Diceros bicornis minor: one gene and its partners. The protein of the gene in region 3 purifies or fractionates together with the protein of the main gene of each other region. This does not show direct contact. Links are inferred from orthologs where the notes say so. Each region holds a gene or a part of one and is shown on either strand. Other genes may lie near its edges.

The links.
Region 1: the proteins of VAMP8 (region 3) and STX3 purify together in Homo sapiens (affinity purification with mass spectrometry; 4 studies listed by BioGRID and IntAct, counting the BioPlex papers as one, with this or other methods). This does not show direct contact. The link is inferred for Diceros bicornis minor from reciprocal best matches to the Homo sapiens genes VAMP8 and STX3.
Region 2: the proteins of VAMP8 (region 3) and SNAP23 purify together in Homo sapiens (affinity purification with western blotting; 3 studies listed by BioGRID and IntAct, with this or other methods). This does not show direct contact. The link is inferred for Diceros bicornis minor from reciprocal best matches to the Homo sapiens genes VAMP8 and SNAP23.
Region 4: the proteins of VAMP8 (region 3) and STX8 purify together in Homo sapiens (co-immunoprecipitation; 5 studies listed by BioGRID and IntAct, with this or other methods). This does not show direct contact. The link is inferred for Diceros bicornis minor from reciprocal best matches to the Homo sapiens genes VAMP8 and STX8.

What each region holds. Positions count from the first base shown.
Region 1 is NC_080770.1:13,470,623-13,477,790, reverse strand, and holds the start of STX3 (syntaxin-3), read left to right. Parts: upstream 1-4,167; 5' UTR 4,168-4,309; coding exon 4,310-4,339; intron 4,340-7,168. UniProt on the Homo sapiens protein: Potentially involved in docking of synaptic vesicles at presynaptic active zones. Apical receptor involved in membrane fusion of apical vesicles.
Region 2 is NC_080744.1:40,079,842-40,087,370, reverse strand, and holds the start of SNAP23 (synaptosomal-associated protein 23), read right to left. Parts: upstream 3,002-7,529; 5' UTR 2,916-3,001; intron 1,115-2,915; exon of another isoform or gene 950-1,114; intron 1-949. UniProt on the Homo sapiens protein: Essential component of the high affinity receptor for the general membrane fusion machinery and an important regulator of transport vesicle docking and fusion.
Region 3 is NC_080751.1:4,416,369-4,423,691, forward strand, and holds the start of VAMP8 (vesicle-associated membrane protein 8), read right to left. Parts: upstream 3,004-7,323; 5' UTR 2,904-3,003; coding exon 2,901-2,903; intron 1,538-2,900; coding exon 1,379-1,537; intron 1-1,378. UniProt on the Homo sapiens protein: SNAREs, soluble N-ethylmaleimide-sensitive factor-attachment protein receptors, are essential proteins for fusion of cellular membranes.
Region 4 is NC_080757.1:9,074,354-9,081,780, forward strand, and holds the start of STX8 (syntaxin-8), read left to right. Parts: upstream 1-4,426; 5' UTR 4,427-4,479; coding exon 4,480-4,496; intron 4,497-7,427. Other genes in the region: CFAP52 (cilia- and flagella-associated protein 52), read right to left, coding at 3,564-3,633. UniProt on the Homo sapiens protein: Vesicle trafficking protein that functions in the early secretory pathway, possibly by mediating retrograde transport from cis-Golgi membranes to the ER.

The DNA of each region.
Region 1 (7,168 bases), on a different chromosome or scaffold from region 3:
CAAGGACAGCCTCCAGCCAACAGCCAGTGAGGAACTGAGGCCCTCAGTCCAACAGCACTTGAGGACTGAATCCTGCCAACAACCACGTGAGTGACCTTGGAAGCAGATCCTTCCCTAGTCAAGCCATGAAATGAGACTGTCCCAGCCAACACCTTAATTGCAGTCTTGTGAGAGATCTTGAACTAGAGGCACCCAGCTAAGCTGCACCTGGATTCCTGGATCACAGAAACTATAGGATAATAAATGTTTGTTGTTTCATGCTGCTAGGTTTTAGGGCAATTTGTTACGCAGCAATAAATAATTATTACAAACTTTAAGAGGGGGAAAACTACAAGTCAGGAAGTTTATTCTTCATCCTGGTTATTCTCCATCCTCCCTGCAGTGGGGAAGAATTGCTGTGGGGGGACAGAAAGGATCTTCCCTCCAATTCTCTAGCTCCGCTTATCTCTTTCTACTGAACACCACATCCTAAGGACAGTGCTTCAAACGTACACCAGACAGAAAGTGGTCTCGCCTGTTCCACAGCAGGCCCTGGAGGTCCAGATGAGGTGAGGCTCAGTCCTTTTCTCCAGTGGGGAAGAAATAGGCTTAGAGGAAGGAGAGAGAGGGAAGTGGAGCCCCCAAATCCCAAGATTCTCTCTTTGGTTTGTTTGTAAAGGTGAAATTAAGTGTTGGCTGATTTATTTATAACCAAAATGCAAACACTTGAACTAATCCTGACTATGTTTAATGGGAAAACAGGCTGAACTAAGATCTAGTGTGTGGAAAAGCAAGTACTACTGTGGGGCAGAAAAATGAAAATACATCAGAGAGAAGGGGCTCCTACTGATCCTGGAACCTTAAGTCACTGTCCACCTACATGGAGACCCCATAGTCCACCTGGGTTCAATATCAGAGTCTTCCTCACCAGCCATGGACTCCCTTTGCCCACGTCCCTTGTCCCACAGTAACTTGACTTTCTTCAGTATATTGTACTGGATCCAGTACTGGATCCAGACTTCTGCCTGTCAGGAATGAGCAAATATTAATATATTAGTATCAACGACATAGGATTCATACCTAATAGGAGTTTTAAAGAAGGCTTGAAGTCTATAATAACCACCATCAAAAGAATGCCAGAATAAAAGAACTCTGCTGATCTTCCCTTCCTGGGGTCCTGGATCCAGCTGCAGTTGAAAGAGTTCTTTATCCTGTTTTCAACGTTTAAAAAGTTTAAGGGAATCATGTAGTCATTTCTGTTATTGCCACATAGGCTAATCAAAAGGCCATTTTTTTTCTTCATAGAAACATCTTCTCATAGGAAACCAAATTTCTTTTTTGTTTCTCAGTTTTATTGAGATGCAATTGACATAAAACATTGTATTAGTTTAAGGTATACAATGTAATGATTTGATATATATATATAGTGAAATGATTGCCACAATAAGTTTAGTTAACCTTCATCTTAACCTTCATCGCCTCACATAGTTACAAATTTTTTTTCTTGTGATGAGAACTTTTAAGACCTACTTTCTTAGCAACTTTCAAATATACAATACGGTACTGTTAACTATAGTCATCATGCTGTAGAATACATCCCCAGATATTTGTACCTGTTGACCACCTTCACTGGTTTTGCCCTCACCCCCCTTTCCCACCTCTGGCAATCACCAGTCTGTTCTCTGTATCTATGAGTTTGAGGAAACCAAATTTCTTATTACCCAGTAAATATATTCTGTTAGGGATATGGAATCTTTCAAAACAAGAGATCCACGAATGAAAATAAAGGATACGTGATATTCTTGATCTCGAAAAGTCTGTGAATCATTAGTTTTAATCAGCTTCCTTATCTGAAAGATGAGAAAATAGATTGTGTGAGGTTAAGTGACAGCCGGTTTGTGGCAGAAACTCTGCTTCTAGAACTCAGGTCTCCTGGCTATGTGTCCAGCAATTGTTCTGCTGCCCCATAACAACTCTCCCTTCATGGAAAGCCCATCTTGTGAAGGACAGATTAAATTTCTTACATGTTTAGACAGGGGCAAGAAGCAAGAAATAGCGGTGGAAGTTACAAAGAGGAAAATTTTTGTTCTGTTTAACAAAAAACTTTTTAACAACAGTTGGAACTGTTCAACCAGGGAAGGAGCTTCCTTAAGAGTGTTTGGAAAAACTGTGAAAAAATTAAAATGGCAAAAAAAAAAAAAGGAAGATGAGTGGGTGTCTATGGCATGCTAGGCTTTGTCTAACGCACCTTTCTGGGTTATCTGATTTTATAACGGTCTGTGCCTTTGATGGTCTTGTAGCTATTTTTACAATTCTGTAAATTGTAGAAAACTGATAGTAATGCAAATGATTCTTGTTCATAGAGATGCAAATGAAATTTTCCTGGTGGAGCTGCAATTCATCTTCCCTGACACCCAGAAGCTAGTTTTACATTTATTAACACATTCATTTCAGAATTCCTGGTTGCTTATATAAATGTATCTGCTCTTTGGGGTCTCCTCTGAACCCAAAAGAGGATTCCCTAGTTACTTAATGAGTTAAATAAAATCTTTGATGTGTGCTCATTTTATAGTTGTATGAGAGTCATGATTTTATCCTTTTAAAAACAATTATCTTTTGCCGGGAGGCCTAGGGTGTTTCTGCCCTGGATGTGTTCAGACAGAGGCTGAATGGTCATCCTTGATCCTTAGTACAGACTCCTATGGTTCTTTTCAGACCTGTAATGTAAAGAATTGTTCACATATCTGTCTCCCTAAGGAGAATCTCTTTTCCTGAAGCGCGAGGACCTAGCTATCCCCACTAACTAAAATTTGTTAAGGGAAGGAGGTGGGATGTGCGATTTCTGATTTACTCACCTTTTCCATTTAGGACCACCAGGGGGCGGAGTAGCCTTCCTTCCCTTTACTAAGGACGGGAGACTCCACCTAGTGCGCGCCTGGGGTAGAAGGAAGCCTCCAGGACTAAAGAGAGAGGATCAGGGCTGAGAAGGGCAGGGTTCCACCTTCCCGATCGCGTACAGACGGTGTCTTTATGGGAGGCAATGAAGTCAGCATGGAGCAGGCACTCAGATCGCAGAAGAGGGCAAAGTTCTGTTAGAATTATGAAAATATTTACAGTCCTGTGACCTGAATGCATAGAGCACCTTCTCTTCCTGACTTGAGAATTGACGGCCGCATATGTCTGCTGGATATGTCATTTGTTCCCAAGAAGGAAGGCAAACAAGGAAGAGGGAAGAGAGGGTAGGGGTGGGGAGAGGAGAGGGGATAAACAGGGAGGGGCAGTGCGAAGAACCCGCCCACCTTTTCAGAGGGTACACCCACCTGGGATCTTGACACCACGTAGGAAATGAGAATGGCTTACGCTTTCCAATACAAACATCTATCTCACAACGCTGCTCTATAGGTGACGAATCAGTCACCCCTCCTCTGTCACCCAGGCCTCACAGCAAACTGTGAATTGGGTGTTATCTCTGATTTATTGATATGGAAACGGAGTCCTCTAGAGAAACAGCGCCTTTCCCAAAGTTATACAAATTGCTATTGGCAGGTGTTCTGACTTCAACACTGAACTGCTCGCATTTCTCTGCGGAGTCCCGATTGCCAACATGATGAAATCCAAATGCTTCGTCCCAGCCCGTCCCGTCCCACCTCATCTCTGGTTATTTCCTCTAGGAACGTCCTCTTTCAGATCCAATATGCAGTCCCCCACACTGTTCAAACTCCGTGACTTGGAATGCCCTTCCTCCAGGCGGAATTAGTTGCTTTTTCTCCCACCTATTATAGCACAAAACACACCGTCTTAGAGTTCTTTGTTTAGCAACGAATGAGTCTGTTGAGGCTGGATCCGAGCACGGAGCCTGGCACAGGTAGTGAATTGCTGTCGAATAGAAAGGATGGAATTGAGGTCAAACAGACCCCCTCGCTCTTCCTCGGCCCTGCGGCGGCATCTACCAGTGCCGGACCCTCTCCGCGGATTTCTCTGGTCCCTCGAGGGACCCGGGCTAGGGGAGGTGGAGGGAGGGCCGCCGAGGGCGGCGGGGCGCGGGCCCTTTAAGGAGGAGCGCGGGGCGCGGCCCAGGTGAGGGGCGGGTCTGCGGGCGGATCAGCGCTGCGCGCCGGCGCCGGCCCGGGAGGCGGATTCGGAGCGCGCGGCGCCGGCGGGGCCGGAGGGGGCGGCGCGGCGGAGCTTCTCGCGGCCTGGGACGCTCCTCCTCGCCGGCGGCCGCCGCCCTCCTCTGCCTGCGCCTCCAGCTCGCTCGCCCTGGCCGGGCCCGGCTGCGTCTTCCGGCCGCTCACCTGGGACGCGCTCACCTGGGCGCCGGGGCAGCAGGATGAAGGACCGGCTGGAGCAGCTGAAAGCCGTGAGTCCGCCGCCCCCGGGGCCGGGTCCCGCCGGGGGTGCAGCTGCGCGGGAGAGGGGCTTCCCTACCTTCGCCAGATCGGCGCTGGAGCGGGGCCGAGCGCGAGGCCTGCCCTCCCCAAGCCCCAGCGGCATCCCGCGCGCGTTCCGCAGCCTCCCCTCCCCTCTGGGGTCGTGTGCCGGGTGATTCCTGGCTAGGCTGCGATTTCCCTGGATGACAGCGTCTGTCCAGAGCTGGGGTCCGCGCGGGGTGCTTGGGCCTAGCGGAGCTTTCTGTGGGGTCAGGGGTCACCTCAGCCCTTACCCACTGCAGCCTGGCACTGTGCCCAGGACCAGCCTTCTATCTCCTTCCTTGTCTCCCGAGCCGGCTGCCCTCTCCCCCGGAAAGCTCCTGGGTGACCTCCGGAGCTGTGAGCTGGTCACGTGCCAGGATGGTGCAGCTCCTCGCCATCCGGCAGTCTATAATTATTAATTTCTCCTGAATCCTCAGGACAGCTGGATAGGGCAAAGGATCTGAAGGTAGACCGCCTCCAGCCCTGCCGCACAAAAGCTGTAAATCCTTAGGCTGCTTATTCTTTTGAGCCTCTGTTTCCTTATCTGTCAAATGGGGATGATCATACCTTAGAGATTTGTTATGAGATCAAATGACATAATAACCCTCGATATAGAAAAGTGTCAAACGTGAGTTTTTGAGTTAGATATTCATTGACTCATTCAACAAATAATTATTGAGTGCTGTCTAGGGGGCAGGCCCTGTGCTAAGCCCTGGGGATTGGGTGACACAGGCTCTGTCTTAATGGAATGTAAAATCTAGCTCTTGATACAAAGTCTTCCATCTACTTGGGAGCTTGGTAGAAATGTAGAAGCTTAGACCCCAGTCTGGACCTACAGAATTAGAATCTGATTATTCACAAATCTCCCCAGTGATTCGTGAGCATTTTGGGAAGCAGGGGGCTGGATAGAACTGGGGTTGCCTCCTGGCTCCACTGCTAACTAGCTCTCCTTTAACCTCTGAGTCTAAGTTTTCTCATCTTTACAATGCGTGGTTGTGAGGACTAAAAGCAAGAGAGCGTGCAGAGCCCTTTGGATGGTGCATGACACATATAGGGCGAATAGATGGTAAATATTATGCTGAGAACTGTAAAAGCTCCTTGGAAAAATACAGGCCTCATATGAGTGTGAGGGACTCCTGGGATGATGTCGCAATTGTTTTTCTTTCTCCTCCCTCGTCTTGGGCGAGACCTTCATGACCCTTTCACCTGCTCTGGGTAGTAGGGCGATGGGGAAGTGAGAGAAGCAAAGGGACAGTTGCTGATTGTGGGGTGAGCCTCCCTGCCTCCTACATGTCATCTGAGCCTCACAACATCCCGGTTACGGGGCAGAATTTATGGCCCCTATTTTTCTAGATGAGGAAACCAGAGCTAAGCCTGGGTAGGCAGGATGCTGCGGGTCACAGAGCTGGTCAGGTCACAAGCAGGGGAGGAACCCAGACTCCTAACACTCTTCATGGTGCTCTTTCCCTGTAGCATGCTGGTTGGGGAGGCAGAAAGGAAAGAGGACCATGGCTTTTGAAGATCTTCCCTTATCAGCACACGCAGCAGTCATAAAACAATGCAAAACTGAACAGCAGGCAGAGGCGGCTCCCTTCCTTTAGTTAGGAAATCCATAGAGGAGGATACTCCACGGCCCCTTTCAAAAGCCCATTGTCAACAAACAGCAAAGAGTCTTCTCTGAGCTTTGGGTTCCAAGTATAAATTCAGGTTGCCAGGGAACCCAGGCAGTCCCTTTGCTTCTCCGAGCCTCATTCACCCGCTGTAAAACTGAGCTAATGCTCTGTTTCCTCCCTGCACCTCTTGGCGATGTGGTGAAAGTGAGACTATAGACGGTGCTGTTATTATGGGGGTGCTGTTCTCAAGTCATGGGTGCTGCTCTAGCGTTTTGGAGCAGGGAGATGGGTGTTGACACTGTGCAAAGAGGACTGGGCTGCAGGTTGAAAGGGTTCTAATTGTGGCTCTGCCACTTAATAGCTGTGTTGTTTTGTGTCACTTTACTTCTCTGCTTCTCTATTCCCCCTTTGCAAAACCAAGAGTTGGGTTGATCTCAGAAGCCCCTCCTGGCAATATTAAAATATTAATGTTTTCCAAGAAGACTGTTGTTAAGGTTTATATACATTTTGGTTTCTAGTTCACCTTCTGCCCCTTTCCTCTGGCCCCCAGGAGAGAGATCGCCCTCACTACAACAAGATTACTATCTTCTCTCTTTGATTCCTTTTATCAACGAAAGGCAAGGCGTTTGTTAACAAGGCTTTTGTTAACTCGCATCAAACTGATTTTACATTGAGCAGCCTGTGCAATCTCTTTCTGTGGGATCTTTCTAAACCCTGGGGGAGGGGAGGTGATAACTACCTCCAGATAGCTGGAGGGCTGTCATGCGCAGGAGATTAGCTTTGCTCTGTGTGGATACAAGGAGAAGATGTGAAGTTGATGGGTAGAAATTAGGACTCTGTGGAAAGCATTTTTACTGGTCAGAGCTGCCCGAGGATGGGATGGGCTGGCTGGAAGGGTCGTAGTCCCTCAAGTCTGGGAGGGAGGCAAGAAGCTTGCTGGGATGTTGAATGTTGTAGGAATTTGAGCATCTCTTTGAGGGAGGGGAGGTGACCAAGGAGATTTAAGGCCTCCATCATCCCTGAGGATGTGTGGTTCTCTAAAATTCTTCATTGTTTGTGACCTTATCCTAAGCACTGTGAGACTGTGGCGTCCATAGGACTGAGGTCTTAGAGTTGCACCTGTAAAGTGGATCATCATACCCCCCCCCGTAGGGTCATTGTGAG
Region 2 (7,529 bases), on a different chromosome or scaffold from region 3:
TGTAGTGGTTAAGTGCCCAATATTTGGAGGCATAATGGTTTCAAATCCTGACTACTGATTACTTAACTTCTCTGTGCTTCAGTTTTCTCATTAAATAAGGATATAGTGCTTACTTCAAGTGCTGTTACAAGGATTGAGCTAATTCATGCAAAGCATTTAGAACTCTGGCTGGCACACAGTGCTCAATAAAGCTATTATAATTTTTCACAATAATTATTAAATATCTCTCATGTTTTTGACTTGGGAATCAAAATCCAAGCAAGATCAATTTTTTTAAAAACTGCGATTTTTAGGGGCTGGCCCAGTGGCGCAGTGGTTAAGTTCGCACGCTCCGCTTTGGTGGCCTGGGGTTTGGATCCCAGACACGGACCTACGTTCCGCTTATCAAGCCACGCTGTGGCAGTCGTCCCACATATAAAGTTGAGGAAGACGGGCATGGATGTTAGCCCAGGGCCAATCTTCCTCAGCAAAAAGAGGAGGATTGGCAACAGATGTTAGTTCAGGGCTAACCTTCCTCACCAAAAAACAAAACAAAACAAAAATTGTGATTTTAGACTATCAAAGAAGTGTCACAATGTAAGGCCTCAGTAGTCATGCAGGAATATAACGTGTGTATGTGTGTGCATGTATATAGAGGGGGCAGGGTTGCTTTAAAAGGCAGACAGGAGACAGGTTGTGAAGGGCTTTGTACACTATACCAAGAAGTGTGGATTTTATTTTATAAGCATCATGAGGCCATCTAAAGGAAATCTCAGTTGTCAAAACATTGTTAAAATAAATTTAAAACAAACTTTAAATCCAAGTTACAGAACTCACAAAAATCAACAAGATGAGGGAATTTCAGAAAAATATAGAGATCAGTGATTTAAATATTTTAGTTGCAATAAAACCTAAATTGAATCAAAATCAAACTGTCAGTGAATTTAAATGAGTGCAAACAGAACCTCACCTCCAACCCCAATACCACAAAAAGAACAGTACATGCTGTTTCCTGGCTCCACAATCCACTTCCTCCAATTGTTGGAGGCACTGGATCCATCTGTTTCAAGCCTCTACCCACCATGACAAAGAAAAGACCAGTCCTTGTCATCAACTCCTCTGTCAATCTACAGACCTGGAAACAAAACATGGCACTGGAATAAAAAGTTCAGCATTCTTGAATGCAAGCAACATCATATATTATAAATGCTAACTAACACATACAATGCAGAGTACAAATACACCTAAAAACAGATTTCCAGAATGTTTAGGACATAGGAACCAAAGAAGGAAAAGAAAATGCCTTAATTCAGAAGAAAAAAAAATGAAAGGCAGCTGATTTCACAAAAATGTCAAAGAGCAAACATCCTCTTTTTCTCTTTTGCTATTACAATCTACTTTCATTTGGTAAAACCAGATAAGTAAGTTTGCTAGAACTGCGTTAACAATAATGAATGCCATCACAGGGCTCACAGAATTTTGAAGTTCTTAGAGTTTAGGCAGTCCAATCTTTACTTCATTTTAAAAATGAGTAGATTAGACCCAAAACAGTATTTTCCAAAGGGCAGAGCAACAACAAGAGATGATTTTAGCTGTTATATAAGCAATAGTTATGTACTTAATAGTTATGTATTTATTATAATGTGTACTAGAAAAAATATTATAAAATACACAAAACTAGAAAGTATTATAAAATACAAGACCAGGATTTCGTAGATTATCACTTTGGAAGAGGGTAATGTTCAAAAAAAGTCTATTAAAAATACGAAGTAAAATAACACAGACGATCCTCTAAAAGGCAAAATTTATGATGGTGGTATGGTTCATGATAAATGAAGTACTGACAGCTGTTCCACGAGCAACAGGGCCTGTTTTGTTGTTTGTTTGCTTTCTTCTTGATTTAAGCTTGTGTTCTGAATGATTAGAAAAAATGTGACCTTTAGTTAAGTGAGCTTGTTAGTATACTTAAGTTCTTTTAGAGTAAAAGAAACAAAGGCTAAGATCCATACAGATATTCTACTGTTCATAGGAAACAGTGTAATAAGGTTAAGAAAATAATAGCACAATAAGTCAGTCCTATTCTGGAACTAAGATAACAGCAACTTTCTAGTGCATATCCACATACCACAAGCACTTAAAAAAAAAAAAAGCCCTAGCAACAATGATAAATATTTAAGCTGTAGGCTAAGTTATATGATCATTTTATTTACTTTCACATGACCTGTCAAAAGAGAATGGTAATGTGAGGTGTTTCTCCTGTTTCTCCTAATATTTGCTAGTATTTATACGAATGCGGTCTTTTTCATTACCTCTTGCCAAAGGAACAAATGACAAGGATCACTGAATGCCTTAGGCATCAACTTTGCTGGTGGCAAAAATATTAATTTTTAAAAATTTTACTATGAGACATTTTAAGATTAGATCTCAGAGTATTCTAGCTAATGATGCCTCATGCATTTCAAGTGTGGTATTTTCCAGGCTACGGAAGAACGTGAGAGAACCAAGTAAAACAGGTAAGATTGTACTTTCCTAGAAAGCATGGACTCGCCAATGCCATGAACCTCAGAGATCTTCTTCAGACAACTAATTCACAGTTATCTGATCACTGTGGTCACCATACAGTCTATTAATCCCGACCACAGCAAACCTGTGGAGGTCGGGGGTGAGGGAGTGAGAGTTTACCTCCGCTCGGTTTCAAGAAAGGGTCCAGAGAACCACCATCCCGCCACCCTGCCTGTGCCGGCCTCTCGACAGTCTCCTGGCGCCTCGCGTCCTCGCTCCGGGCCCGACCTGCCCAGTCCGAGCCACAGCCCCGCTCCTCCCCTAAAGCCCGATCCTACCAACTTTTCAACCGTCATGATATACTCTTTCTCCTTCGGATACGATCCCAACCTTCACCTCGGCCAGCTCCCTCAGCCCCACTCCTGGAGACTCACCACGCAGTTCGGCCACTCCTCTGCGGCCTCGGCAGCTCGGACACCCCCAGACTGGACTGGGACCTGCCCCTTCTTGCGCCTGCGCACGCCGGCCTCACACGCCTGCGCACTTCCCCGGCGCCGCGGGTGCGGCCACACCCCTGCAGCTGGAGCCAATCACGGTGCGGGGGGTTTAAATCTCCCTGCCACGCAGGCGAGGAGCCTGGGGACTCACCCGTTAACCGGATAATTCGAGTCCCGCTTGTAGGTGGGAAGTGTTCAAGCAACAAACATTTACATGTACCGTACTGAGGGCAAACCGCCAGGCACTGTGCGGGATGAACACTGAGGAAAAGAAAGCGAATAGAATGCCTTCCCTGCCCTCTAGGGTCTTTTGATCTGTCTAGACTGGGAGATAGATATGTAAATAAATTATAGTGGATAGAATATAGTGCATGGCATATAGAAAATCCGAGGCGCCGCTGGCGCACAGTGAACACAGTGCCTTATTCTTAGGGGTGGCTGGATGGGTTCCCGGGGGAAATGACTTTTGAGTCATGAAGGATAAGTAGGAGTTCCCCCGGAAGTCCGGGAGGGAGAGAGACTATTTTCCAGACTGTGAGAACAGCGTATGCCAAGAAGAACATAGCGCCTTCTGGAAATTACTTGTAGTTCATCCTGGTTAGAGGTTTAGAGCTCATCGTATATCTCCAGGTGAAGGGGGAATAAGCTTTAAAAAGTTGGCAATTGCCAGATCTTGGGAGGTCTTGCATTTTTGGACTAGTGACCCTGCACTTTATACTGTGATCACTGAGAGCTACTGAAGGGTTTTAAGCAGGTCTGGGAACTCTTCCAGGCACCTCTAAAAATAAAGCACAGTGCTGGGGGGGAAAAATGCTTTAAAGAGGGAATATTCTATTCCTAAGGGGTCAAGGAAGATGAAGCCTGAGAAATATCTTTTGAATTTAGTAACACAGAGATCATTAGTGATCTTAGCGAAAGCTATCTGTTGGGATGAAGTTGAAAAATAGATTGCAGTAGTTTGGAGAGAGAGGAGATACAGAAATGGGGACAGGTTGTAGAAAGCTTTTGGAAAGTTTGGCCTTGAGGGTAGGAGGGAAAGGGATGACAAGGGGTCAAAGTTTTTTGTTTCTATTTCTTGGATTTTTTGTTAGAATTAAGGCAGGAGAAACTTAAGCATGATAGGGAATATGCAACTGAGAAAAAACAGTTGAATAAAGAGAAGTGCTAGTTAGTAGGTAAAGATCTTCAGAGGGTAAGAATGGAGGCAATCCAGAGCACTGATGGGGGGACAGTCTTAGAAGAGAGATCTTCTCAATTATAATGAGAGGAAGTATGTGTCTGTAAGTTTGTATGTTTAGTAACAGAAAGTTAAAGAAGTTCTCATCTGATCACCTCTGTTTTCTCTGTGAAGTAGGAGATGAGGTCATCTGCTGATAGAAAAGGAGTTGGGAATTTTAAGAAAGTGGAGAAGATTTGGAATGTTGTAGAAAGTGATAGAGCAAATTGACCAGAGGAAAGTAGTAGAACTGGTAAGCCATGTTGAGGGCCTGTATAAGATTGGTAAAAATGAACTCACCAGTTTCTGCCCTCCTGCATAGATTTCTCAAGCAGTAATCACTTCTTGAGGTAGAAGTGGAGAAAATGTATGGTTGAGTTCATTTAGCGTTGGGATGGTCACTGGCATAATGCCATGGTTCTCAACCAGGGACATTTTCCTTTTTTGGTCTCCAGAAGACATTTGGCAATGTCTGGAGACATTTTGATTATCAAGATGGTGGGTGGGTGGGGATGTAAGGGGGCACTACAGGCATCTGGTGTCCAGGGATGCTGATAAATAGCCTAAAATGCACAGGAGAGCACAGGAACTATCTCCAAAATGTCAATAGTGCCAAGGCAAGGTTGAGAAATCATGATCTAGGATTACCTTGACGCTCACCAACAGCTGACCTTGGTCTTCTACAAGCTTTTCGTTGGACTATGGTCCAGAGCTTATAGGGTAAAGCAGTTCTTCCATTGCTTGCCTTTAAAGGAGAGTAGAATGAGCAGCATACCTCAGACCTTGAGTGTTTCAAGGACTTGTGATGTCACAAACACAGAATGGGAATAGTTCCTCAATCCTCTAGAAGCAAATCTGGATTTACACAGAGATGAAGGGAGCTGCTTACTTTGATCTGAGGCATTGAAGGTCTTGTTAAACATAGATATTATTAGAAGTTCAACAATATAGGAGGAGTAACACTTCACAAATTATCAACCTTAATGTAATTTGGTTTATCTCACTAGTTTTAGTCACTAAAATAAGATCCCGAGAGAATGGGTATGGGCTAAGTTTAATATATATAATTAAGATAAATTAATATTAATAATTAATATAATATAAATACATTAAGTATTAATAAGAATGTAATTATTAGTATTAATGGATTATCTGCTCTTTGATAGGCACCATTATGGATAGGCACTTGACCTATGTTATGTCATTTAATCCTAGCAACACCTTGAGAGATATCCTAATTTTAACTCTGAGGAAAGTGAGGTTCCAAGAAAATTTGTAATTTACACAAAGTCACAAAGTACTAGTATCCAGGTCAAAAAAATTGGAACTCAGGTCTGTGTGTTCTAAAGCTCTTGCACCTTCCATTAAGCTTCAGTAAATTTTAGAAGGAAGGAGTGGTTGGCAATGTAGCGGCAACAGTTGCCACCGCCTAAAGGGAATGGTGGAGACAGGAAGAGACTAAGAGCAAGAGCGAGGCCCGGAAAGAGAAAGAGAATGAAGAAGGAACCGGGAGGCTGCTCACAGGAGCGTGCAGCGCAGCGGACTAACTTCGCAAGCCTGCCTGCCTTTTGTCTTCTCCCATTCTTTTAGAGTACATAAACCCTTTTCCCCCTGTGTCCGTTGTTCACTTTCGTGAGTTCAAATAAAGCTAGATTATTGAGAAAGGCGGACCTCAAAGGAAAAAAAAAAAGAGAGGGGAGCTCTACGGCGGCGGTGTGCGCTTGCGCGCTGGCGGCGGCGGCGGCAGCGGAGCCCGGAGGGGAGCCGGTTCGGAGCGGGCCGCCGGGCCCCAAACCGAGGGGGCGTCTGGGGCGTCAGGGAGCTCCCTCGTCTGGGCCTCGGCGGCCTGATGGAGTAAGAGGGGTCGCCTGTGAGTGTGAGTATCGAGGGGCCGAGCTGCGTTGAGGCGTATCGGAGCCCGAGGGTCCTGGTGGTCTGCCCCTTAGGGAGGTTTGGGGCTGCAGGACGCGGCCGGATCTCTGCTCCTGCAGGCCGCGGTGCAGGGGCAACCCGGTCGTCCCCTCTCCCCGAGCCGCGCGGGTTTACGGGCAGGCGGTGCTTTTGGCTTCGCGGTACAGATTCTCGCGGGGGCGTTCCGGCTCTGCTCCCAGCCGGAAACGTGGCGGCAGAGCCTTGACCTTTAGGGGAGGCCGCTGACCTCCTTCGGCCTTTGGTGCCGCAGGGAGCCCATAGAGTCAGGGTGCTTAAAGGCCTACGGGTCTCCGGCCAGGAACACCTTTCGACCACTTGTGACTTACAGCCTCCGTTCTTTTTCCTTCTTCCGTCTTCTCTCCTTATGGGATGCGTCTTAATAATAGCTGTTAATTATGGAGCGCTTACTATGTGTCAATTTAGTATTTAGTCCGAATCTGGGTGCATAATTATGGAGAGGAAATGCTTTGCACCCCACTCCCCCTTCAATCTGCTCGATTTAATTATCTTTGAGAGTCAGAACCATCTTTTGAGATTAAGCTATCTTGTTGGGAAGTTTGAGATTTCCATGACTCTTAGCAATTTGGGACTGCCATCCTGGTTAAGGGAAGTTCTTCTCTTACCTACCAAGAGAGTGCTTTATCCACCATAATGGTTTATATCGAATTTACTCAAGCCAGAATAACTTTGGAGCACTTACTAAGAGCTTAGTACTGTGCTAAACCCTTTAGGAAATCTTATAATTAGTTTTAAGCTCTTTCTCAACTTTAGTCGTGAATCAAATAATGGAAGATAATATTTAGATTCAACTAGGATTTATTTAGCACCTACTTCACCTACCACAGATACACTCAGGTCTGTCACAAAAAATTAATGAGATATTGTAACGGAAGGCGGTTTTTTGGAGCACATTTTAGATGAGGTCGCTGAGAGTTTGATGGTAATTTGCTTAAGCTAGTTTAGCTAGGGTTAAGTAGTGAAATGCACATACAGTGCCAAAGCTAATCTTTTTGCTGCTACACCAAGTTAGATATTTCAAGCACTTCTGCTGAGAAGCAACTGCATTCCAATTACAGTTTGTAGAGAACTATTGAGTCTAGAAAGTGGTAGCAGCCTTTAAAGGTACTTACTAGATGGTTTTTGAAGAGAACTTCACAGTGGCTTGGAAGGAGGTAGAAAGTGTGAAGGAGTCTGATCAGGTTAGTTTGGAACCAATTGCTTTGATTAAAAGGAACATATTTAGAAAGGAAAAACTGTGAATTGTGATTGTTGTAGATCTAGGTTAGAGCACATGTAGTTTGAAGACTACTGTAGAAGAGAAGCAAGGAATAATGGTGGGTGCTAGCCGACTTGGTTCTGGGACCAGGAATGGCTCAGTGAGAAGTGTACATATTGTGTGTTTT
Region 3 (7,323 bases):
TGGAGTGGCAGAAATTAAGTTTCCCTGGGCCATGCTTCCCAGGTTAGGTTGTGGGAAGAAATACTAAGTCCCAGGGAGAAAAAGGAGCTCTATCCAAGATTACACAGGACCCAGAAAGCCATAGCTAGACTCTTGCCGTGAACCTGGAACCTTAGGCTCGAGCTTTTGTTGAACTTTAGAGTTACTCCCTTCCTGAGCCGCTGGCTGGAGAGAGAGAAAACTGAGATCTAGCAAGATGTGTGGGGCATATTCTAGCCTTCACCTAGCAGTGGGCCCCGGATCAAAGGCTTTCACCTAGCCTTTGTGATTTCCAGCGCTTTCTCCAGCCGGCTCAGCAAGACTCTAACACCTTTCCACCCCTAGCCTACCTAACAACTTCTGGAGCAAGCCAAAGGCCCTAGGATGATTTTCCAGAGCCAATACATATTTTTTTTTGGTGAGGAAGAGTGGCCCTAGGCTAACATCTGTTGCCAATCTTCCTCTTTTTGCTTGAGGAAGATTGTCACAGAGTTAACACCTGTGCCAATCTGCCTCTATTTTGGTTTTTATTTATTTATTTATTCGTGAGGAAGATCAGCCCTGAGCTAACATCCATGCCAATCCTCCTCTTTTTGCTGAGGAAGACCAGCTCTGGGCTAACATCTATTGCCAATCCTCCTCCTTTTTTTCCCTTTTTCTCCCCAAAGCCCCAGTAGATAGTGGTATGTCATAGCTGCACATCCTTCTAGTTGCTGTATGTGGGACGCGGCCTCAGCATGGCCGGAGAAGTGGTGCATCGGTGTGCGCCCGGGATCCAAACCCAGACAGCCAGTAGCGGAGCACACGCGCTTAACCACTGAGCCATGGGGCCGGCCCCCTCTGCCTCTATTTTGTATGTGGGATGCCACCACAGCATGGCGTGATGAGCAGTGTGTAGGTCCGCACCCAGGATCTGAACCTGTGAACCCCAGGCTGCTGAAGCAGAGTGCACAAACTTAACTACTATGCCACCGGGCCAGCCCCACCAAAGCCAATATTTTTGCCCTGGGAGGTCAGGTCCAAATGGTTGTCAAGGGCAGCCTTCAAAGGGAAAATCGGTTTCACAGGAGAGAAGCCCAAGAATGCACGGGCTGACTGAGCCATCTGTCTCAGAAAATACCTCCAGGGGTCAGGCCCTACCCCCCAACCACAGTCATTGTACACATTCCCTGGACCCCAGTGCCAATCAGTGGAGTAGAGTAGAATCAGAAGTGGGGACTCAGCTCACTTCAATTCCCAAAACAGGTGAAAAGGCAGACTTCCCTCCTGCTCATTTTGCCCCCAACACCACCAATCCCTAAACCCCCAACGACCCTCCCGCACTCTCTTTTTCTAGCCCCCAGTGAGCTCCCCATCTCACTGTGGCTTCCAGATCTTCTGTCTTGTGGCGGAGATGGTCCAAGTTTTCTCCTCGGGCCAGGATCCGCTCCACATTCTGGGTCATAATATTCTTGACTCCCTCCACCTCACTCCGCAGGTTCCGCACATGATCATTTCCATCGCCTCCACTGCCTTCCTCCTGGGCAGCAACACAGGGGTTAATTGGGCCAAGTGGTGGAGGAACTGATAGCCTCAGAGGCTAGAGGAGGGGAAGACTTAACATGGACTTTAGTGTTCTGTAAAGCTTGAACTGTTTACAAAGAGAATGTTTTCACGTCTCACTCATGTAATCAAAAATAAATGCATTTTTAAGCCCCAGAGGATGAGAGCTGTTGCTAGACAGACTAGCTCAAACTTCTTTTTGGGTTCTCAGGGTCCCTGACAAGGAAAAGAAGCACACCACTGAGACCCTCTCCACTGCTTCTTTGCTCCTCGGAGAGGGTCAGAGCAGACAGCTGAGCTGGCATCTCACGATGCAAAACCCCGCCACCATTTACCAATTCCCAGATCCCACAGGTTCCTTATTAAAAATGTCTGTGGGGCCAGCAGAATTCCCTCACCTAGCCCAACTCTCCCTCTTTCCAAGAAAGCAGCTGGAGAGCAGCTCTGCCTCGGGCCTCCTGGGCAGCCTAATTGCTGTGACCCAGGCCAACAGCGACTAGGCTCCAAGTCCCTCACAAGGCCCCAAGAGAGAGAGCCGTTGGGCCACAAACTTCTGCTTTCCCCACCACCTAGCACCATGCGCAGGCACCACGCCACTGCTGCTGAAGCAGATATTAAATAAAAGCAGCAGCCTGGGCACTGGGGGAAATACAGGGCAAGTCTTCCCTGGCTGAGGCCTCATCCTCAGGCTTCATGATAAGGTTTTTAAAGAAGGAGGCAAAACGTTATCAAGCTCCTCCCTCTCTGACCCACAGGACCTCCAGAAACAGGCCAGGGGTGTGGGCCAAATTAGATTATCGCAAAGAACCAATTTCTGGTTCTTTTACAAACCCTTAGCTCTCTTCCTCATGTTTATGGGGGGGAGCCAATTCCTTGGACTTGTGGAGAGACAAATTTTGGGAGTTTCTGTACAGGGATAAAGTGAAAGGCAGAGGGGAAGAGCTCCCGCCGCTGGGCTGGAATCTGCACTGGGAACAGCAGAGGCGCTGCCCAGGAGTGTCACAACAGCAGGCCGGTCGGCCGGCAGGCTGGAGGAGAAGATGAAGGAAGGGCCGCTTGCTCAGCAACTCTCTGCCTGGAATTCGGATCCCCCACGCCCACCCACCGAAGCACTGCTCCAGGCCAGCACTGAGGTCAGGGGAGGGAGTATAGAAGGAGGAGGAACACCCGCCCGTGCAGCTCAGAGCTATTTGCAGCCAAGCTGTCTAAGAAGAGAGGCCACAGTCAGTGCTGGCCCAACCCTCTGACATTGCCACCAACTCTCCTTTCCCGATCCCCAGCCCCCAGCCCCCTCTGGCTCATCTTTAAATCAGCCCCTTTCTAGTTCCCAGCTCACTCACCATGTCTCCGAGCAGCTGGGGCCCGTCAGCGGCAGAACTTGCCTAGTCTGTTTCCTCCTGGGGCGGCCCTTGGTTCACTTCCTGCTTGCTCCAACTTTCAGCCCGCCCCCGTCCACCTCTCATCCTGAGCCTGCTCCAGCCACACCTCACACAGGTTCCCCTAGGTAGGCGGACACCCTCCACTGCCCTTCTAGTCTCCTCCCAAACCAGGGCTTAGGCTTAAAGCAACAGGGCTCCCCGGCAACAAAGGTCTTTTAACTCGTCAGGAACAAGAGAAATCAAGCAGCCCTCCTAGGTTTCCTGAGGCTGGGCCTCCTGATATAGAAAGGGCAGCCATCTCCTTTTTTTATGTCCTGAATATCTGAGTCCAATTCTTAGAGACGGAAATCAATCATAAGCACCCTGCCAGGCCTAGTTCACATGGAAACAGAATGCAGATATGAACATTTTTTGCTGGACAACCCTTGTTCCCATGTCCATGGGTGGACAGAAAGCACTAAAACCCCCAAATGGAATGCTGTGATCCTGGGCTCTGGCATCAGATAGCTCTGGGTTACTAGCTGCGTGACCCCAGTGAATCTCTTCACCTCTCTGGGGTTTTGCAGGTGCTGATGCTGACCTCAGAGGGTGGTGGTGAGCAGTAAAAGGGTAGCACATGTAATGTGCCTAGCACAGTGCCTGGACCGAAGGACTGTCCACTGTGCAAATTGGGAAATAATGGCTCCTTTCCTTCCAGAATTCAACAATCCTGCATTTCCCTTCAGGGGCCACCATGGGAGTTGGTGAGCCCAGTCAGAAATGGTCAGAGGACTGCCCTATAAACCAGAGAGGAGGCCCAGGGCAAAGGATTTTTCCACCAACCGGGCTCCAGGCCAGAGAAAATCCACTCTTCCTGGATGGTGTTTATCAAGACAGAAGAACAGTAACAGAGACGTGCAGAAGGGAACAAACATTCCTGTCCCATCCCAGTTCCAAGGGGGAGATGTCAGCTTCCCTCACAAATTAGACATTTTTTAAAAGGTCTAATAAAATTAGATGATTATATTTTGCAGACCTGAATTTTGGTGGACAGTACCAGCCTGCTTTCACAGAGAATGTGGCTGCCCCAATCCTCACCATCCTTAGAAAGGCTACAACATGGCCAAGTGGAGGTAGGTCTGAATCCTTGATCTATCCTTGCACCGTCCAATACAGCAGCCACTGACCACATGTGGCTGTTGAGCACTTGAAATGTGGCTAGTCTGAATTGAGATGTGACATAAGAGTAAAATACACAACCGGATTTCAAAGATTTATTATGTAAAAAAGAATGTAAATATCCCATTCATAATTTTACATGACTTGTTGAAATAATGTTTTGGATATATTGGGTTAAATTTAAAAAGTTGATAAAATTAATTTCACCTGTTTCTTTTCTCTTTTAATTTGGGTAGTAGAAAAATTTAAATTACAAATGTGACTCAAATTATATTTCTTTTCTTTTTTTTTTTTTTTTTTGGTGAGGAAGACTGGCCCTGAGCTAACATCCACGCCTATTTTGCTCTTTTCGTATGTGAGACGCCGCCACAGCACAGCTTGATGAGTGGTGCGTCGGTCTGCACCCAGGACTCGAACCTGTGAACCCTGGGCCACTGAAGCGGAGCATGCCAACTTAACCACTATGCCACCTCGCCAGCCCCTCAAATTATATTTCTATACTTCTTTAGACACGCTGATCTGCCTTAATATTTCTGTGACCTTGGATGGACTTACGTAACACTCTAAGCCTCAGTTACCTCCCTGTCTGTGCCTGACACTTAAAACTCCCTCAGTAAATGGTGGCTGTTGTGATTACTATTATTAAGAATTCCAGATGCTAAGTAAGGTGGTGGATAGGGGAACATGAGAGGTACCAAGAACAAAGGACCAGAGTAGGAGGACTGAGGGGAACAGGAAGAAATGGAAGAGGAACCCCAGGGTGGGAATCTGGTTGAGGAGTTACTATGGTCTGACATGCAACTGCCAGCCTTGGACATACATTGGTGTCCCTGAGGGAGCTGACCCTTGGCCTAGACCCAGCAACCATCAGGGAGATTCCCAAGTGCCCACAGTTGGGCCTGCAACTTCTTCACCTTCATCTTCACCATGCAGAATCCCTGCAGGCTTGGCCTCACCTGCGCAAACATTATAATGTTACCCTTTGTCAGAAGACCATCTTGCTAACACCCTCACAAGGTAAGACATTCAGTGAGACACCGAACAACATTTCTGCTATGAGCAGAAACAGTCCTGTGGGCAGAGTACAAGAAGAGAAATGAAAGTCATTGATTCCTCTACAGTCAATGAAGGCTCTATCTCAGGAGAAATGGAGTGTCAGTAGTTGTAACGAAAAGATGCTAGGTGGTAGGAGTTGCAGCCAAAGAAGCCACCATAGCGTGATGGAGAGTGTTCTCAGTCCCTGTGTGATCAGAAGATCTGCTTATCAGCTCTATTACTCCCTGGCTGTGTGGTCTTGGGCAAGCCACTTCCCTCTGGGAGCTTCAGTTTCCCCATCTGCAAAATGGGAATAAGAATGAAAGAGGAGCAGGGGCTGGCCCGGTGGCATAGCGGTTAAGTGCACATGCTCTGCTGCGGCAGCCCGGGGTTCGGATCCCGGGCGCGCACCGACGCACTGCTTGTCTAAGCCATGCTGTGGCAGTGTCCTATGTAAAGTGGAGGAAGATGGGCACAGATATTAGCTCAGGGTCAGTCTTCCTCAGCAAAAAAGAGGAGGATTGGCAGATGTTAGCTCAGGGCTGATCTTCCTCACAAAAAAAAAAAAAAAAAAAGAATGAAAGGGGCTGGTGGCTTAGTGGTTAAGGTTGTGCACTCCACTTTGGCGGCCTGGGGTTTGCAGGTTCGAATCTCAGACATGGACCGATGCACCACTCATCAGGCCACGCTGTGGTGGCGTCCCACATACAAAATAGAGGAAGACGGGCACAGATGTTAGCTCAGAGCCGATCTTCCTCACCAAAAAAAAAAAGAATGAAAGATGCTTTGCAAGGTTATTATTAGGATTAAATGATATAGGTGTATATTTCTATATTTCTGCTAAATCACTTTACAGATGAAAAAGGAGACTAATAGAGAAAATGGAATGAGAAAATAAGGGAAGAAGAAAATTAACAGCCTGCAAAGCAACCAGGCAAACTTTGGGGTACAGTGGTATATATCCCAGTCTTCTTATTTATGGCCCAAGTGGGCAGTTTACTCCTGTACCTCTCAGGGAAAAGGCTATAGAACAAGGAAAAGGCACAGTCAGGAGGCTCAACTGGAATTGCTTCCTGAAGAATCATAACGCTCTCACCACTGCCAAGGCCTCTTTTATCTCCAAATCCCTCTTTGTAGACTGTCACACAACTGGCCACCCCATCTGTGACACAGTCACCCCACATCTCTCCCAATGCGTTCTCTTCCTTTCTGACTGTGTTCTTAGAACACAAAGGTTCTGCCCTTGGCCATCTTCTCTGCTGACTCCATACTCTCTCCTAGAGCAACTGTTCTCTACCGGGTTGATTTTGCCCTCAAGGGAACATTTGACAACGTCTGGAGACATTTTTGGTTGTCACAACTAGCGGAGTGTACTACTGGCATCTAGTGGGTAGATGCCAAGGATGCTAAACTTCCTACAATGCAAAGGACAGCCCTCTCCACAACAGAGAATTGTATAGACCAAAATTTCAATAGTGCCGAGGTTGAGACACTCTGTCTCCATAGGGAAGTGCAACGCCTTTATGTTTGTAACACCTTTTTACTTTATGTGTTGTAACACCTTTTTACGGACAATCCCCCAATCTGTTACCTCCAACCCTGACCTCTCTTTCAATTGCCATTGCTTCCTTTCCGATGCCCTGCACAGTCCATAGACACCTCCAACAGTCATCTTACACACGCAATGGGACATCACTAAGTCTTGATTCCATCTTCGTCATGTCACTCATATTCACCCCCTCCTTTCTACACCAGCTCCTGCTTCCTAGGTAATGCCAGCAGGATCTCTTCTCTGGACAATTCCATCCACCTCCAAACTGACCTTTCTGTTCCCATCCATTCCTCCTGGGGCTGCTTATTATCTTCCCAAAACACAGATTTGCATATGCTCCACCCTGGCCCCAGGGTAAAGCCCAAATTCCTTACCTTGGCATTCCAAGACTGTTCTTAACCTGCTTTTCAAAGCTTGCCTACCATGAGACTCGCCTCTCAGCCCCTCAATCATATCAAATTACATGCCCTTCCCCAAACACGCTATCCCTTTTTATATCTTTGCTCAAGTGGACCTTTCTCATGATGAGCGAATATCCTGTTTCACTCATCACAGCCTATGGAAAGTCCATTTATATTTAAGACATTGCTTCCTTGAAGGCTTTCAGATTTCCCCACTGAAGTTAACTTCCTCTTCTGA
Region 4 (7,427 bases), on a different chromosome or scaffold from region 3:
CATGGGCTTATCTACTCCAGTCAATTGAAGAATGTGACTGTTGTGTCAATACCAAACTCTTAATGACTATAGCTTTATAAAATGTTTTCATAAGCAACACTACTATATCTGGTTTGCTTAAATAATAAATTCCTGTCAAAATACAATGCCTAGAAGAGTCAAGTGCAGTTACATATTTACACCCTCATTAAAATTCATAAACTATCATGTAACTCTACAATGAGTTTTAGCAGCACAATGATAAAAAAGGCTTTGCTTTTGCTTCTAATTTGTTTCTGTGTGAAAGCAAAACTCAATTACCTTGCGTTTAAGGCCTCCACAATCTAATCTCAGGCTCTCTTTGCTGTGTTATCTGGTCAGTCCTTGATACTTAAGCCACACCAGGCTTTTTGCTATTCCCCAACCAGGCACCACACTCTCCACCTTCCTCCTTTGCTCACCCTATTCCTGCTATCTGGAATATTCTGCCTCTCAGTCTTTACTCACTGACTCCTACTCAACTTTAAAGACTATTTGAATTAACTCCTCCTTGACTTCACTCAAGCCTAGAATAGAATCTTTCTCCCAAGCTTTCATAAAGCTTTGCTTATTTGTTTTTGAGAGGTAGTATAGACTTTTTAAGTAAACAGTTTTCATTGAAGACAAAAATACAGAAAACTCAATAACTTTACCAAGTAAATACACCTATTTAACTATAGCCCAAGTCAAGGAGTAGATTATTACCACCCCCCAGACGTCCCCCATGTGCCTTCTCCCAGTCTACATCTCCCCAAAGGTAATCACTGTTTTGATTTCTATTCCTGTAAATTAATTTTCCTCATTTTAGAACTTTAAATGAATGGAATTATACAGTATGTATTCTTTTTCTTCTGGCTTTTTTCATTCAACATTATGATTGTGAGCTCTATCCATGTTGTGTGTAGCTGTAGTTAATTCTTTTTCATTGCTGCAGAGTAGTCTGTTGTATGAATAGACCACAATTTATTTGTCCTTTCTACTTTTCTTTTTTTTTTTTTTTTTGTGAGGAGATCAGCCCTGAGCTAACATCCGCCAATCCTCCTCTTTTTTTTTTGCTGAGGAAGACGGCCCTGGGCTAACATCGGTGCCCATCTTCCTCCACCTTATATGGGACGCCGCCACAGCATGGCTTACCAAGCAGTGCGTCGGTGCGCGCCCGGGATCCGAACCAGTGAACCCCGGGCCGCCGCAGCGGAGCGCGCGCACTTAACCGCTTGCGCCACCGGGCCGGCCCCTGTCCTTTCTACTTTTTTTTTTTTTTTTTTTTTTTGTGAGGAGATCAGCCCTGAGCTAACATCCGCCAATCCTCCTCTTTTTTTGCTGAGGAAGACGGCCCTGGGCTAACATCGGTGCCTATCTTCCTCCACTTTATATGGGACGCCGCCACAGCATGGCTTACCAAGCAGTACTTCGGTGCGCGCCCGGGATCCGAACCAGCGAACCCCGGGCCGCCGCAGCGGAGCGCGCGCACCCAACCGCTTGCGCCACTGGGCCGGCCCCCCTTTCTACTTTTGATGGACATTTTCATTGTAGTTTTTAGCTATTTGAAATTATGCTACTATAAATATTCCCATATATTTTTTTTTTGGTACACATTTCTGTTGTGTATAATATGGCCTTTGGAGGATACATCAAAAGTCTTTAAGATGTACTCAGAATTTGACCTAAGGAAAAAAGGTAGAGTTAAAAGATTTAGCTGTGCAGATGTTCTTTGTAGCATTTAAAAATAAATGGAAAAAATGGAAATTATCCTAAATGCTTAATAACAGGGCATTGTTTAAATAAATTATGACATCTGTGCAACAGAATATCATATTAAAATATATTAAAAATTATGGGACAGAGTATATTTACTGCCAAGGAAAGATTTACATGACATACTGTTAAGTGGAAAAAAAGTTCGATTACAAGATAATATATACAGCATAAGTTTGTTTTTATTAAAAAAATATATTTATATGTAAGTGTATATTTGAAAGGATCACACCAAAAGTTTAACTGTGATATCTTTGGGAAATGTAATGATGGCTGATTTTTCTTTTGGTTTCACTGTATTTTTTCAATTTTCTAAACTCCTCTTCTTAAGTATGGCTATGGATTTATCCCTGTATTCACAGTGCATAGCATACTACTTGGCATATAGTGGTTCTAAATAAATGTATATTTGATTATACAAAAGAATATAAATTGTCACAAAATGAAGGTAAAAACAATTCAATTTGGGCCATTCTAAAAGGCCAAGATGGGCCGGCCCCATGGCTTAGCGGTTAAGTGCACACACTCCGCTGCTGGCGGCCCGGGTTTGAATCCCGGGCGCGTACTGACTCACTGCTTCTCTGGCCATGCTGAGGCCGCGTCCCACATACAGCAAGACGTGCAGCTATGACATACAACTATCTACTGGGGCTTTGGGGGAAAAAATAAATAAATAAAGTTAAAAAAATAAAAAATAAAGGCGTATGCTTTTAAAAAAAATAATAAAAGGCCAAGATAAGTAGTAATTGTCAAGGAAGACATCCGGATGGAAGTGACCACATATTTACTCTCAGAGCTCCACCAAACAGCATGAATTCAGTCGCAGAGCTCTATGCGGGAGCCTTTACACTAGTCCCCAGCGTGGCCCTTTGCACTAACTGCACTCAGATCCTTTACCAACGATCTTGTAACCGGCTCTAAAGGTGGCTGATCTCTCAGATGTACTAAGTGCCCACTGTCAATTAGAGACATCAAGGTAAAATGAAGAGCCAAGTCCTAGAATGTGCTTAAAATTTGTCATTGATTGTTCTGTATCTACATTATTACAATTTTAAAGCTTTCAGGCATCACAATGTACTTTTAAAAAAAGGTTTGCTTTTTCTAAAATGTAACCAATTGCTTGTTTTCATCCTTCACAAAAAGCCAAACAGCATTTTCCCCCTTAACGTTCAAAACCACAAGCAGTCATAAATAAGATTTGAGCAGATCCGCCAGGCATCCTCTGACCAAAGTATCTCTCTCCTCCAGCTCCCCCTGGCGTCCTCTTCGCCTTCTATCGTGGTCTGAAATGCTCACCATTAGAATCCTTCCTTCGGTTTAGAGGACAAGATTACCCTCTAAAGCGGTCCCTCCCCAGCCCTTTCTCAGTACATCAGCTGGGATTTTAGAAGTTAGTTGGTCCCGGGGGCCGACACGGACTCTGTAATCCGGTGGTTACGGAAGGGCAGGCAGCTTTGCGGGCTGCATGGGGCTTAGAGCCAGGGAGGGCTGACCTAGTGGGAGAAGGGTTACAACTATCCTTTCTTTCTGGCCCGGCGAAGAGGAATTTGGTTTCTTTTAGGTGACGGCAAAAACCATCCCCCTTCTTGAGGCTTGGAGCAAGGAAGTGACTCTCTATGGCCTTTGGACAGGAGAGGCTGGCTGGGGCCCTGGCGGTTGGCCCTGGCCAGGGCTCATGCCAGGGTCTCACACTGCCTTCCAGGTGCCACCTGGTGTCTCACTGTTCCTGTTGGCACTACACGTCCCCGGGTTTGCTAAACCACCCAGTCCAGACATGCTCGAGGCCTCACCGTTGAAGCCAATCACAGCCTCAAGCTCCAGCTCCGCCACCTCGGCTTTGGGCGAAATTTGGTTCTCCATCACCCGGACACTCGGCTCACTTTCCTCCCAGCCTCCGACGATGGAGCGTCTTTTGGTCGTTATGGTAACAGACGTACGCATGCGCGCCAGATCCCCGCCCGCGCTGAAACCCATTCTGCGGAGTTGGTCTTTTACTCTCTCGGAAACGAGAAGAGGGCTTCTTTTTCCTTTCTATCGCTCTGGAAATTTAGGGGGCACTAAATGCACAGAACTAATTCCCTCCTCCCTAAATAAAGAGTCTGTGACCTTTTTGGTACCTATATAATCAAGCACCTAATGGCATCTAAAAATTAATCAAACATGGTGGATTGCCTTTGATGGGAAGGCTGCTATAAAATAGTATGTAATTGCTACTTCTTTGGGTCCCTTGTTCGAAGCAGGATAAAACAAATTTTTTAAAGCTTTATTGAGGTATAATTTACATATCATAAAATTCACTTAAAGTGAGTTTTAGTAAATTTATACATTTGTACATCTATGACAACCAGTTTTTTGTTTGTTTATTTTTGTTATTGTTTCAAGCAGGAGAAAATTTTAAGTAACTGCTAGAGGTCTTGAGGCGCTCCCCCGTTTCCGGGAAAATGCTTAGATTTTGTTCAACAACAATTTTATTTTAATTGCGCCCAGCTGTTGGCATCTCGGCGGGAGCAGAATGCTCCAACCTACTGTTCCCTGGGTCAGCGCTTTCCTTTCTTCATCAGAGCTTTGAGGCCCTAGTGTAGATTCCCTTCGCAAACTCCAGGTTTCGGTCGCGCACGGGTGGAACCGCGGAGTATGAGCCGCGCGAGCCGCCGTAGTCAGCTGCTGCGAGCAGGAAGTGTCCGAGGAGCGGGCGGAGACTGCACAATGGCCCCGGACCCCTGGTGAGCCCCGGGTGGGGGCGGCCGCGCGGAGAGTCTGTGGGGGGAGGCCGGGCTTCTGGGGAGCGGGCGACCGCTAGGCGTTCGGTCTGGAGGTCATTCGGGATGAGAGGAGGGGCAGCGAGGACCCTTCCTCAGCTGAGGGGGACTCTGCCGCATTCTGCCACCCTCGGTCCTTGCGGGGTGGCCCAGGAGGGAGACCGAGTAGACCCGTGGGGAGCTGAGGAATGGTGTCGAATCTCTGAACATTCCTTTAGCCCTTCCCGGCTGCACCTTGCCGCGGAGATTTCCCGCCCATCCTGGTTGTGGAGCTGGCGGTGCAGGCTTCCCTGGACTCCTGTGAAAGGGAAGTCGAAGTAACCTTTTTGTGCAGTGCCAGTCCATCTGGGGAACCCCCTTATTTCACAGGTGGAGAAACGGAGGTTCAGAATCCCTGGTCACCAGCCAGTTAGTAACCAGTTGGCGCTAGGACCTAGAACTTGTGGGCCCTTCAAAAAACTTCTAGGAATATCAGAGGGAAATTATGCATTTGTTTTTAAGGCATTTTACCGTTATCTGAGTCAGTATCATGAGGACTGTTTCTATGGCAGCAACTTTTGCAGTAAAACAGTAGCTGATAGCGGTCCTTTATTCATCAGTTAAGTCCCAGGGACTGAGTGATGACAGACACTGTCTGTCATAATTAAAAACATATTCTAGCTCTGTAAAGTTCTTGTACTATATGCCTCATGTTGGTACTTCTCATATAGTTTATAATTGTTTAAGTGGCAGACAGTCTGGATAGTAGGAGAATGGATTGCAAGATCAAAGTTAGCACCCCTGGGATTTAGGTTATCTGGGCAGGTAGCTTACTTCATTTAACACTAATTTTTTTCCACCTTATTTTAACACCCTGATGGAAAATTTAGAAAATACTGAATATTTGCAGAGAAAACAATAAATTTAACTCAGTCATTTGGAATAATAGCCATTATTGATTTTTTTAAATGAACTTATTGCTTTATATATGTGTGTGTATATGTATATAAACACTCATATGTTTTACAAAACAGGGAACATTTCTCCCTATCACTAAATATTCACTCTAAACATTATTTTTTATAGTGCATCATATGAATGACCATAATTTAATTATTCCCCGCTTTGTACCTTTTTTTAATATTAGGGATTTGTTTATGTTTTTTTAATATTGCAGAGATTGCCCCTTTGTTTTGTGTCTTATTTCCTTGGCTCACTTCTTAGAAGTGGAACTCTTGGGCCCAAGGGTATGAACATTTTTAAGGCCCTGGATACATGTTGCTAAGTTGCCCTCCACCTCCTGGAAGCTAACTCCCTCACTTTACACATAAGGTAGGAAATAAAGCTCAGAAATAAGTTAGAGGCCCCAGGTTATCCATATAGCTTGGCAGAAGCTATCACTGGACCCCAGGCCTCTTCCACAGTGAGTTTTGAAAAGGCATTTATAATTTTTCCTGTTACTCTCAAGTAGTTTGAATTAGTGGCTTTCTCATTTGTTGAAAGTGAAACAGTGGGGGAACTCTGCTGTGCTAGCGTCAGCTTCTTTGCCAAGTAGGTTGCTGATCAGCAGGGTAGAAAGGAGTATGGAATGGGACTTGGAAAAACCTATAGAAACAGACTTGACTACAGCTTTGCCTTCCTGCTGTTGAAAATCATCGGTCAATGATGCTTTACTCCTGTGTAGTGTTCTAAAGTTGAGAAGTGAAATGTAGCAGTTACTATTTTAATGGCATATCAAAGCAAGTAGTAAGCTCACTGTTTAATAGAAGTAGCGAGTAATTACTGTCTAAACTGGTTCTTTGCTCAAGTTAATCAGCTTTACTGCTAGGGCAACTTATTTGTTGATGATACACCATTTCTGGAAAAATTATATTCTAGTTGGCTTTTTTTTGGTCTATTATTTAAAAGTTTTGTTATGAAAGATAAAAAATATATGTGGAATAGTATAATGAGCCCCTTTATACTCATCACTCAATTTCTGTAATTATCAATATTCTGCCATTCTTGTTTCATCTCTGCTCTCCACACTTTTTTTTTTCCTGTGTCTTTTAAAGTAAATCTTATACATATATCAATTTAACTGTATATTCAGTGCTTTTCTGATAGAACAGAGGCCCAGTTCTTAGTCTAGAAACTTCTTTTAGTTTCCCCATTCTAGTTCCTTGGTCTCTGTCATGGCATCACCATCCTCTTAGTCACTTAGGCCTGAAAACACTAATTACCCACTTTTCCTTCACTCCTCATATCAGATTTTTCACTAATGCCCTTTTTTTTTTTTTTTAAGTATCTCTTGACATCTTTTTTTTGCTGTCTTTTTCTGCCATAGTTCAATCCTTTATAGCCCTATGCCTTGCAGATAGTAAATACTGGTGACTGGTTATAGAATTGAATAGCTGGAGAAGTCATCTACTGATCTCTTGCCACTCTTCTCTCCTTCCCAACTGTTTACCTAAATGGAGTTCAGGTTAATTTTCCTAAACTAGTACTTTAGGCACTGTGTTCTTGATACCTTGATGAAGTTGCCCGTTAACACTTGGCCAGTGGTTCCCAAACTTCGCTACAGATTGGAATTACCTGGGGAGCTTTCCCAACTCCTCATGTCCAGGTCAAACCCCATACCAATTTAATCAGAATGCTTGGGGGTGGGAGCCAGGAATTGTGTTTGTTTTTGTTTTGTAGTGATTCCCCAGTTATTCCAGAATGTAGCAAGGTTTCAGAACCACTTTTTTAGGGCTAAAGTGAGAACATGAGGATCAGTGGCAAGACACCTGAGATTTTGCCCGTCAGCATATCACCTCTTCAAGGCCTCACTTTATGCTCTACATACAGCTCTAAAATTCTCTTATAAGTCTAATCTTATTAGGTTGGTGTTTAAGGCTCTGCAGAAACTAGCTTCGACTCATCTTTACCATTTTA